Linked DNA regions of Sus scrofa. The protein of the gene in region 1 purifies or fractionates together with the protein of each later gene. This does not show direct contact. Links are inferred from orthologs where the notes say so. Each region holds a gene or a part of one and is shown in the gene's direction. Other genes may lie near its edges. The genes, in order: MARCH5, MFN1 and MFN2.

What was found.
Region 2: the proteins of MARCH5 (region 1) and MFN1 purify together in Homo sapiens (affinity purification with western blotting; 4 studies listed by BioGRID, with this or other methods). This does not show direct contact. The link is inferred for Sus scrofa from reciprocal best matches to the Homo sapiens genes MARCHF5 and MFN1.
Region 3: the proteins of MARCH5 (region 1) and MFN2 purify together in Homo sapiens (affinity purification with mass spectrometry; 5 studies listed by BioGRID and IntAct, counting the BioPlex papers as one, with this or other methods). This does not show direct contact. The link is inferred for Sus scrofa from reciprocal best matches to the Homo sapiens genes MARCHF5 and MFN2.

The regions. Positions count from the first base shown.
Region 1 is NC_010456.5:103,891,715-103,895,366, forward strand, and holds part of MARCH5 (E3 ubiquitin-protein ligase MARCH5), read left to right. Parts: intron 1-3,455; coding exon 3,456-3,652. UniProt on the Homo sapiens protein: Mitochondrial E3 ubiquitin-protein ligase that plays a crucial role in the control of mitochondrial morphology by acting as a positive regulator of mitochondrial fission and as an important regulator of immune response.
Region 2 is NC_010455.5:117,409,006-117,412,657, forward strand, and holds part of MFN1 (mitofusin 1), read left to right. Parts: coding exon 1-76; intron 77-1,607; coding exon 1,608-1,770; intron 1,771-3,652. UniProt on the Homo sapiens protein: Mitochondrial outer membrane GTPase that mediates mitochondrial clustering and fusion. Membrane clustering requires GTPase activity. It may involve a major rearrangement of the coiled coil domains.
Region 3 is NC_010448.4:72,050,433-72,053,798, forward strand, and holds part of MFN2 (mitofusin-2), read left to right. Parts: intron 1-1,614; coding exon 1,615-1,811; intron 1,812-2,651; coding exon 2,652-2,786; intron 2,787-3,366. UniProt on the Homo sapiens protein: Mitochondrial outer membrane GTPase that mediates mitochondrial clustering and fusion. Mitochondria are highly dynamic organelles, and their morphology is determined by the equilibrium between mitochondrial fusion and fission events.

The DNA.
Region 1 (3,652 bases):
CCCCAAGTAAATTATAGTTTTCCAGGTAGATACCATCTTCCATTTATTTTGTTTATGTAGCCACATGGAACCAGTGAAACTACATGGAATCATAAATGCTCAGTAAATTGTGGTCAATTTCTGTAGTTTTCAGTTGTGTACTTATTTTGTACTGTTACTAAGTTAGATGTTTCCACTTCGTTTATTTGTATCTAAACTGTAATTTTTAATTTTTTTTATTTTTTGGTTGCTCCTCAGCATGTGGAAGTTCCCAGGCCATTGGTCAAACGGAGTTGCTGCAGTGACAATGCCAGATCCTTAACCCACTGCCCCACAAGGGAACCCAAAACTATAATATTTAGATCCAGTAATTTGGTGGTGTTACCAGAAGTTTACATATTATGGGTAATACTATTTGATCTCAGATGGCCATCATCAGATTTATTGTTAAGCAGTTGAAATAAGTAGGAAATGGATGTGGTAAGTTGGTAGATGTTGAAACTCAGCAAAACTTTTTGAGAGTATTGTTATCAGTAAGTTTTCTTTATTATTATTTCCTCTGTAGGATAATTTCAGTTAATCTCTAGTGAGCATAAGCTTCAAAATCCAAATTAGTAAGCTGTATACTGTCACTATGAATAAAACAATAATAAAACAAGGTTATTGGTATTAACACTTCCAGTTAGGTTTAATGCCTAACTTTTTACTGTGTATCATTTTCCAACTATCTTATCTACCATAGTGGTGAAATTAGGAAAAAAAAAATCCTATTTTTGAAGTTCACATTATGGCTCAGTGGGTTAAGGATACAGTGTTGCTGTGAGCTGTGGTGTAGGTTGCAGATGCGGCTCAGATCCCTCATGGCTGTGGCTGTGGCTGTGGCACAGACCAGCAGCTGCCGCTCTGATTGGACCCCTAGCCTAAGAACTTCCATATGCTGCAGGTATGGTCCTAAAAAGGAAAAAAAAATCCTGTTTTAAATGTCAGTTGAGTACCTTCTAAAAGGTAAAACTGAAAGTACTCAGGGATAAAGTATGTCTGAAACTGAAATGAATCAAAAAATAAGATGGATTGATGGAATTAATATATGGTAAAGCACATATATAGCAAAATGATAAAGAATCATAGAATCTAGATACAAATATGGTATTCACCAAACAGAAGCAGTTTTTCAACTTTTTTTGAAGCTTTGAAATTTTTTGTTGTAAAATGTTGGTGAAAAATAAACTTAAATCTATCCAGAATTTATGGGGATTATAGATATACAAGTATTCCCATTAGATTAGTATATGAAACTGCTATTTATGTAAGTCAAAAAACAGACAAAGGCCATTTCATTTGATGTGACATAGTATTAAGGTTCTTTTACGTTTTATTTCCTAATGACTGGTATTTGGCTTAATTTAAAATTCAGTTCACCTTAATACTGATTATGTTCCATTGTTGATATGAGAAACTTAGAAGGGAGTTCCATTGTGGTTCAGCGGTAACAAGTCTGACTAGGATACATGAGGATGCAGGTCCGATCCCTGGCCTCGCTCAGTGGGTTAAGGATCCAGCGTTGTCACAGACGTAGCTCAGGTGTGGCATTGCTGTGGCTGTGTCATAGGCCATCGGCTATAATTACGATTCAACTCCTAACCTGGGAACTTCTATATACCACTGGTATGGCCCTAAAAAGAAAAGAAAAAAAAAAAAAAATCACCTTCCTAATGGGGAAAATATGTACTAACACAATTAACTGGTCTATATGCTCCTTACTTGTCAATTGAAATTTTATGAGAAAAAAAACAAACTGGTGAAACCCAGTCAAATCATGGGTAGTGGTAATGGTTGGACAACAGTGTGAATGACTTAATGCTACAACTGTAGTCTTAAAAAATGGTTAAAGTATAAGTTTCAGAAGGTGGAGAAGGAGACATTTTTGAATAAGCTTAAGATAGCATGAGGGCCCAGACAGCTTGCCTGAGGTGGATCAGAGAGCATGCTCAAACAAATGCTACCTACCTCCAGTTTTACCTAGGTAGATGTGAGAAACCTAAATTTGAAAGCTGAGTAAAAGCATGTTTTGGATCTTGTTGCCATGTATTCAGTTCAGTTTTTTTCTCTATTCTAATTGAAAAATTTTAATTGGAGCACACAATTAAAATTCATGTTGTTCTACAAAGACTGGAGACCTCACCCATCTCTAGTACCTAGCTATATATATATAGGCTTTCCCACTGTGCATAGTTAGCTAGTTGTTTTGACAGAAATCACTTATCTAATTATATGAAAAGTGCACAGTAGGTAACAAGCTTTAATTAGCAGTTATTTCCTTTTGTGCAGTCAAACTTTAACTGTGGATGGTGGGGCAGGCAGTGAATGGTGTCATTGAATTAAATTGTATGTGCCATAATGGAAATTGGTGTCAAAACTTGTGTTAATTGGGAGAACAAATAAGGAATTGCAACCTGGAGTTCCCATCATAGCTCAGTGGAAATGAAACTGACTAGCATCCATGAGGATGCAGGTTGAATCCCTGGCCTTGCTCAGTGGTTAAGGGTCCAGGCATTGCCGCCACGAGCTGTGATGTAGGTTGCAGACGTGGCTCGGATCTTTCGTTGCCGTGGCTGTGGCATAGGCTGGCACCTGCAGCTCCGATTCAACCCCTAGCCTGGGAACCTCCATAGGCTGTGGGTGCAAAGAGACCAAAAAAAAAAAAAAAAAAAAAAAGGAATTGCAACCTGATTCCACAAGAATAAATTAGAATTCATGAAGTATTCTTAAAACCGAAATAGGAAAATTGTTTTAAAATTAATCATTTCAGAATTTTTAATTCCCACAGAAAAAGAAAACAGTCATACCTATAATAGAACATGTAGGCCCAAATTTACCATATCACTGTCCTAAAACAGTTTATCTTGATGTCTTCATTCTTCCCTTTGGACTTTTTAAATTTAATCATCTTTCTCTCTTATAGTCATACTTTACCAGAAAGAAAAATGAGTGGGGGTTTTTTCCTGTCTTAGTTGAAAATTGAATGAGACCATATGTGAAATAATTTGTGTACTACCTTAGTTCTTCAAGTTCAAGAGGTTATGAGGTTAATGTTGATGAAATGAGAGATACACTGAATTTCACATATTCTTGTATTTACCACTCTTCAAAGAATTATTAGGTCTTAAAAAAGCAGCTTGAGAATTGTTTCTACATTCTGGTTTATTAGAGAAGGTGAAGAATTACTAGAAAGATGGAGGAAGTACACAAAAACAATATTCTGAAAACGTTTAAGATTCTGCAGAAGAATACAAGGAAAAACAAAAAGAAGAAACCACTCTACTGGAAATGTGTTGGTTGTTTTGTCTCCTCAGTCTTTTAATATAGAATTGAAAGTTCTATGATGTAACATAGTAGACTCATCCCATTGAGAGTTGCAGTGGAGAGGAGGCTGGGGTCTTAAAGATAATGTGGTTATTTTCTCTTTTGATTTATAGAAGTTGCTGGGTATGTTTTGCCACTGATGAAGATGATAGAACAGCTGAATGGGTGAGACCATGCAGATGCAGAGGATCTACAAAATGGGTTCACCAGGCTTGTCTACAGCGCTGGGTGGATGAAAAACAAAGAGGAAACAGTACAGCCAGAGTGGCATGTCCTCAGTGCAATGCTGAATACTTAATAGTTTTTCCAA
Region 2 (3,652 bases), on another chromosome or scaffold:
AGAGGTATAAAAACAAGCTTTCCGTTATTGGCGAGGTGCTGTCTCGGAGACACATGAAAGTGGCATTTTTTGGCAGGTAATCCTTTATTATTTTTTTTCTCAAGGGTAGTTTGCAGAAATTAACTTTTCTTGGTCATATCTGCAAATTCATTTCTGATATTTCTGCAAGTGATAGCTTCTCCCTCCACCTTTTCTCTTCACAACATTTTCAGCCTGTGTTAAATGTTAAAAGTTTGTTTTAGCTCCTGGTGTAAAATAAAGCTTAATGGAGTTCCCATTTTGGTTCAGTGGGAACAAACCTGACTAATATCCATGAGAATGTGAGCTCAATCCCTGTCCTTGCTCAGTGGGTTAAGGATCCAACATTGCCACAAGCTGCAGTTTAGGTCACAGATGGGGCTCAGATCCAGTGTTGCTATGGCTGTGGTATAGGCCGGGAGATGCAGCTCTTACTCGATCCTTAGCCTGGGAACTTCCATATGCTGCACCTGCAGCCCTAAAGAAAAATAACTACATAAATAAATAAAGCTTTATGAAGGTCAATCATATTTTTATACTTTAAGGATACTCATCTCTAAGAATTGGCTTGTTAGACATTATACATATAGAAAAACAGGTAAGTGACAAGTATAAAATTTGTGACTTAGGTTTTTAAGCTTCTCTGATTACCAGTGTGTCTTCCAAAAGAATTTTCAGCTCCATGATTCCCAGAGGGAAATAGGAAGTACCATTCCTCAGTGTAACTTCCAGAGTGATAAGAGTGATTTCTGCCACAGCTTATACATTAATTTAAAGGGTCAGGGAGTTTCCATCTTGCTCAGTGGAAACAAATCAGACTAGTATCCATGAGGATGCAGCCGTAAGCTGTGGTGTGGTTGCAGGTGCAGCTCAGATCTGGTGTTGCTGTGGCCAGCAGCTACAGCTCTGATTTGACCCCTAGCCTGGGAACTTCCATATATGCTGCGGGTAGCCCTAAAAAGACAAAAAATTTAAGGATTATTTGTTAACTGTGTATGTATGTACCAACCACTCTGTTAAAAACAGTCACTAGGCCCTTAGCTTGGTTGTTCAGATATCATGAGCCATATACCAACAGAGGGTTTTATTTATTCACTGAACTAACCTTGTAGGCCTTCTAAGCTATTTCCTATATCTTTAGCACTTGGAATTTCCTATGCCTAGAATTCTCTTTGCCTTGTTCTATGTCTGGCTCCTCACTCTTTCAGGCAGAAACTTTTTCTGACCACTCTCAGTTATTCTCTACTAAAACAACCTGTTTGTGTTCTTGAAAACTTTTCACCAAGCTCTGGGTTTTTTGTTTTGTTTTGTTTTGTTTTATGTTGTTTGTTTCTCAGAACTTACACAGTCTAGCATGAAGTAGGTCTAAGAAAGAGGCCCTACCTCAGGTTAGGATGGAGTCAGAGTGGGAGGGAAGAGGCCTTCACTGAGAAGTGATGTAATAGTTGTGTAAATCAAGTTGTCAACTTTTAATAAAAAAATGGAATCTGATGAAATTCACAGAATCTGCATTATAAAAATGTAGGCCTTTGAGCCAGTGAACAAAGTTTTTACCGTTATGTTTTGTCATGATTTTGTATATTCTTCAGGACAAGCAGTGGGAAGAGCTCTGTTATCAATGCCATGTTGTGGGATAAAGTCCTCCCTAGTGGGATTGGCCATACAACCAATTGCTTCCTGAGCGTTGAAGGAACGGATGGAGATAAAGCCTATCTCATGACAGAAGGGTCAGATGAAAAAAAGAGTGTGAAGGTATATGATTTGACCTTTGGCAACATAATGTACCTGAAGTAATGTCCTTAACATGTCCTTTTAAAAAATTTTTCACGAAATGGGTGCCTTGCTAGAGACAGAAGAACCATTAGTATTTCTATTCATAGCTTTTAAAACCATCACTAATATTTTTGAATTTTCTGAAATTATTTTGCTTCAGAGCTGAATTACTGTAAGAATAAAACTTGTCTTTAACTTAAAAGTAAATTAAAAATTGACAGGACACTGTAAACCAATTATAATGGAAAAAATAAAAATCACTAAAAAAAATAAATAATTAGAGGTCTTCACTGGTGGCCTACCAGTTGTCATTGCTGTGGCTCTGGTTACTGCTGTGGCTTGGATTTGATCCCTAGCTTGTGAATTTCTACATGCCTCAAGTGTAGCCAGAAAGAAAAAATTGAACTAGAATTAAAAGTTTATACTATTGGGAGTTCCCATCGTGGCGCAGTGGTTAACGAATCCGACTAGGAACCATGAGGTTGCGGGTTCGATCCCTGCCCTTGCTCAGTGGGTTAATCATCCGGCGTTGCCGTGAGCTGCGGTGTAGGTTGCTCTGGCATAGGCAGGTGGCTACAGCTCTGATTCAACCCCTAGCCTGGGAACCTCCATATGCCGCGGGAGTGGCCCAAGAAATAGCAAAAAGACAAAACAAACAAACAAAAACAAAACAAAAAAACAAACAAAAAAAGTTAAAAAAAAAGTTTATACTATTTTCACTTAGTGAAAAGAACATTATTAAAGTGTATTGTTGCTATTTAGTTTCAAATCTTGTCTTTCTAAGGAAAACTTTGTTTAAAAAATGGTCTCTGGAATCTGTTTTTGACACGTCTGCGCCTTTAGAAGTGGTTTTTGCCTTTAGAATATTTGGTAAGCATATTCATGAGAAAATGCTGTAGCTTTATCAGATAAAGGCCAGTGGTGATTTCTTATCCCTACTTTTCATAATGAGTTTCTTTTTTTTTTTTAGGGCTGCACTTGTGGCATATGGAAGTTCCCAGGCTAGGGGTCAAATTGGAGCTGAAGCTGCCTGCTTGCCCCACAGCCACAACAATGCCAGATCCAAGCCACAGCTGCAACCTACACCACAGCTCACAGCAATGCCAGATCCTTAACCCACTGAGCGAGGCCAGGGATCGAACCCACATCCTCATGGATACTAGTTGGGTTCGTTACCGCTGAGCCATAGTGGTAACTCCCATAATAAGTTTCTTAAGGAGTTAAGTGGCACTAGGTTTTTTTCAGCCAGAAGAAAAGAGAAAGCAATTAGGATGCAAGATGTTTACTCTGGAATGAAATCACTTGGTAAAGGCCCTGTGTCTCACTGTAGTCACTTTCTCTTAAGTCTTAAGATCTCTCCCACAAATGCAAAAGTTCAGTGTGTGAAGTTCCATGTCATTTTATTTTTGTCTAAACTGTAGGTGAATTCATAGATCTAGTCCTGTGGGTTTGCTGTTTGATCAGAGCAGGTAACTCAATCTGTGTAATAGCCTTTAGATTAGCTATGAGCAATAAATGAGATGATTTTTATGAAAATATATTTCTAACTTTTATATCCATACAAATGAAGGAATATCTTATTTTTTAATCAAGAATTTTACCAAGTCAGAATTCAAACTGCCTGTGACTTAAGATCCTCAAGGTCAAGTGTGCTATAACATTTTAAGGTAGTTATCTAATTTTTCCCGATCAGTGAGCTGTTCTTGCAGTCCTCTTTCTTCATCTCTTTTACTCTTCTCCCTGCTCCAGAATTTAAGTTTCTTTACCTTAGAAAGTGACCTGCTTTAAGGTATCAATATACTTTGAGTCTTGGACTGTAATAGTTCACTTAGTAAAATAAATGCAACAATAATACCAAGTA
Region 3 (3,366 bases), on another chromosome or scaffold:
TAACCAGTGTACCCTTCTTAATAACCAGGGTTCTCCTTATTAATAACCAGCATATTCCTTCTTAGTAACCAGGGTACTTCTTTCTGATAAACAGAGTACACCTTCATTTTTTTGTTTTGTTTTTGTGTGTGTGGGGGGTGTTGCTATTTTAGGGTCGTGCCTGCAGCATATGGAAGTTCCCAGGCTAGGGGTCGAATCAGAGCTGTAGCCACCGGCCTGTGCCACAGCCACAGCATTGTAGGATCCAAGCTGTGTCTGCGACCCATACCACAGCTCACGGCAACACCAGATCCTTAACCCATTGAGCAAGGCCAGGGATTGAACCCACATCCTCATGGATCCTAGTTGGGTTCGTTAACCGCTGAGCCATGAAGAGAACTCCCAGGGTACTCCTTGATGACCGAGGGTACCCCTTCTTGATAACCAGGATACTCCCCAGTCTTGTCCCAAGACACACTGCAGCCAGAGTAACTTATGCCTTGAATTTTCTTCATGCCGTTAGGGAATGCTGGCAGAACCTAATTGTAACTGAATTGCCAGGAGCTGCATTCTCAGCTGGTAAAACTAGGGTCTGCTGGAGCCGAGGCCACCCCCTTCTGGTCTGCAGGTGGTACATGCTCTGGTTCTTTTTTCATAGCCGGTGACCTGGCAGAAGGTCATTAGCTGAGAAGCTGACCCTTGATGGTTATGAAACCCTTTTATAATCAGTGTCTCATTTTACCCAAACAACTCTGGGAGTTGGGTGGAAGCCATTCGTCTTATTTTAGCAGGAGACAGGCATAAACAGATTTGCCCAAGGTCACACAGCCAGGATTGCAGGCAGTTTTAGAGCCTTAATTTCTGGCTCCAAGTCCAGTGCTCTTTGACTGTAACTGCACTGCCTTGAACCAAAGTATTACAGACCAGACCAAAAGAAGCCATCTACTGGGGAACGACATGCAGGATTCTGCTTGTTGTCGTTGTCGCCAGAATGGAATGTCCCTTTAGAATACCTAGCATTTGTCTTTAAGATTTTTGCCTGCTGACGTTCCTGCTGTGGTGCAGTGAGTTAAGAATCTGACCGCAGCAGTTCAGGTCGCTGTGGAGGTGTGGGTTCTATCCCCAGCCCGGCACAGTGGGTAAACGATCCAGTGTTGCCATAGCTATAGCTCAGGTTCACTCCCTGGCCCAGGACCTTCCGTATGGTGGGTGCAGCCATAAAAAAAAATTTTTCTTCCTGCCTGGACCTGTGCTTCTGGTCCTCAAAGCCACAGAGGTGGCTCCCCCACCTTTTGTACAAGTTGTATTACGTGGCCCACACTAAGCTTCCCTTATTTCCAAACTAGAGATGGTCCCTGCCCTTCTGACCTCATTAGGACCAAAGAAGACACTGAAAGGATAGTTCTTGAAGTTCCCTGGTGGCCTAGTGGTTAAGGATCTGGTGTGGTCACTGCTGTGATGTGGGTTCGATCCTTGGCCTGGGAAGTTCTGCATGCCCTGGGGGTGGCGTGTTCTGAGTAGAAACTCAAAGGCTCCCTGACCGAGGCTCTTGGGAAAGTTGTGGCAGCAGCAGGCTGAGAAGATGGGCAGCGGGATGGCAGGGAGGCCGAGGCGGCTGACACGGTGCCTCTGCAGGTGTGGAAGGCTGTGGGCTGGAGACTCATCGCGCTCTCCCTTGGCCTCTATGGCCTCCTCTACGTCTACGAGCGTCTGACCTGGACCACCAAGGCCAAGGAGAGGGCCTTCAAGCGCCAGTTTGTAGAGTACGCCAGCGAGAAGCTGCAGCTCATCATCAGCTACACCGGCTCCAATTGTAGCCACCAAGTCCAGCAGTGAGTGGCCCCGTCAGCCCCAAGGGTGGTTCAGGACGCCCCCCAGCTTCCCTTCTAGCCTGGCCTGGAAGCCGTAGCCCTGAGCGTTGTCTGACTCAGCCTCTAGCTGCGCAGTGCCAGTGTGGAGGCCAGGGATGGGAGAGGAGTCTCTTAGGGACACCTCGTGTCCTGGGCTGGGACCAGTTAGGCCTTTGGTCCTCCAAGGAGAGAAGACATGGGAGGATGAGGGCCATTACTTGTAGCATCTTTTGAGGGTTCCCTTGAAGGGCTTGGGTGTGGGTATAGCTTCGATGTTCTGAGCCACAGCCAGTTCTTTGTGGCGCATCCCAGGTCATGTGGGATGGATCACCTGATCTGGGGGGCAAGGGGGAAGGTGCTAGCTGCCTGCCTTTTGCTGCTATGTGCCAGACTGCTAGGCATTTTGCACCTAATTTTTTCTTTTTCTCCCTGAACGCTTTGAGGGAGGTGTCTTTATAGGCATCTCCTTTTTTCAAAATGAGGAAATGGAGATTTGAAGAGGAGTCACATGTGTCCTGCAATTGGCTGACTCAGGGCCGGGCTCTGAGTCCTGGACTTTTGTGCCCAAGCCGGGGCGTCGTGCCCTGTGCTCCTGGCCCTCCCTCCGGGTGGTGCTGGTGTGTGCGCTGGTTATGATGTCCACCGTCTCAGCAGGGGGTGGGGGGAGAGTCTGCCAGACCGGGCCTAGGACTGGCACAGGGCACAGCTGCCAGCGTGACAGGTGGACTGGCTGCTGCCCTGCCCGCCATCGGATTCACCACCAACAGACCTCGTGGGCAGCCGCTGCATGTCTTGGTTGATCCTGACTCTCTCCGCATGCAGGGAGCTGTCTGGAACCTTTGCTCACCTGTGCCAGCAAGTCGACGTGACCCGGGAGAACCTGGAGCAGGAGATTGCCGCCATGAACAGGAAAATCGAGGTTCTCGATTCACTTCAGAGCAAAGCCAAACTGCTCAGGTGAGGCTGGCCACGGAGGCCGCAGAGGAAGCCCCGTCCTGGGAGGTGACAGCTCATGGGCACGTCCTTAGCTGCAGCCCCTCGGGCACATGACACTTGCTGTCCCCATCTTCACCGTCTCTTCAGGGCTGTATCATCACTTGCATTTTATGAAAAGAAAAACTGAGGCCTACAGAGGTTTGATACCTCATGTGGGACCCCACAGTAGACAGTCAAGCCAGTGGGAGAAGCCGGGTGTGCTGAGGCTCCCGCACCCTCTGACCCACCACACGTTGGCTGTCCTGTATTGTCTCCCAAGTGGCCGGGAACCCTCACTTTGCACCATCTCTCTGTGAGCCCAGGCACGGCAGCCTATCAGCACCAGTGCCCACAGGCAGGCTGGCCAGGTAGCCAGGGACTGGCAGAGCCCAGATGTGCCAGGGCTCTTTGCCCAAAGCCAGAGCGACCACTGGCGGTTTGCTAGAGCAGGAATGGGTCTAAGGAGTCAGGAGTCCTGGCTTCAGGTCCTGCTGCTCATACTCAGGCCCATCCTTGGGCTTTCCTGGGCCTCGTTGTCTTCATCTGTAAAATGCAGTAAGAT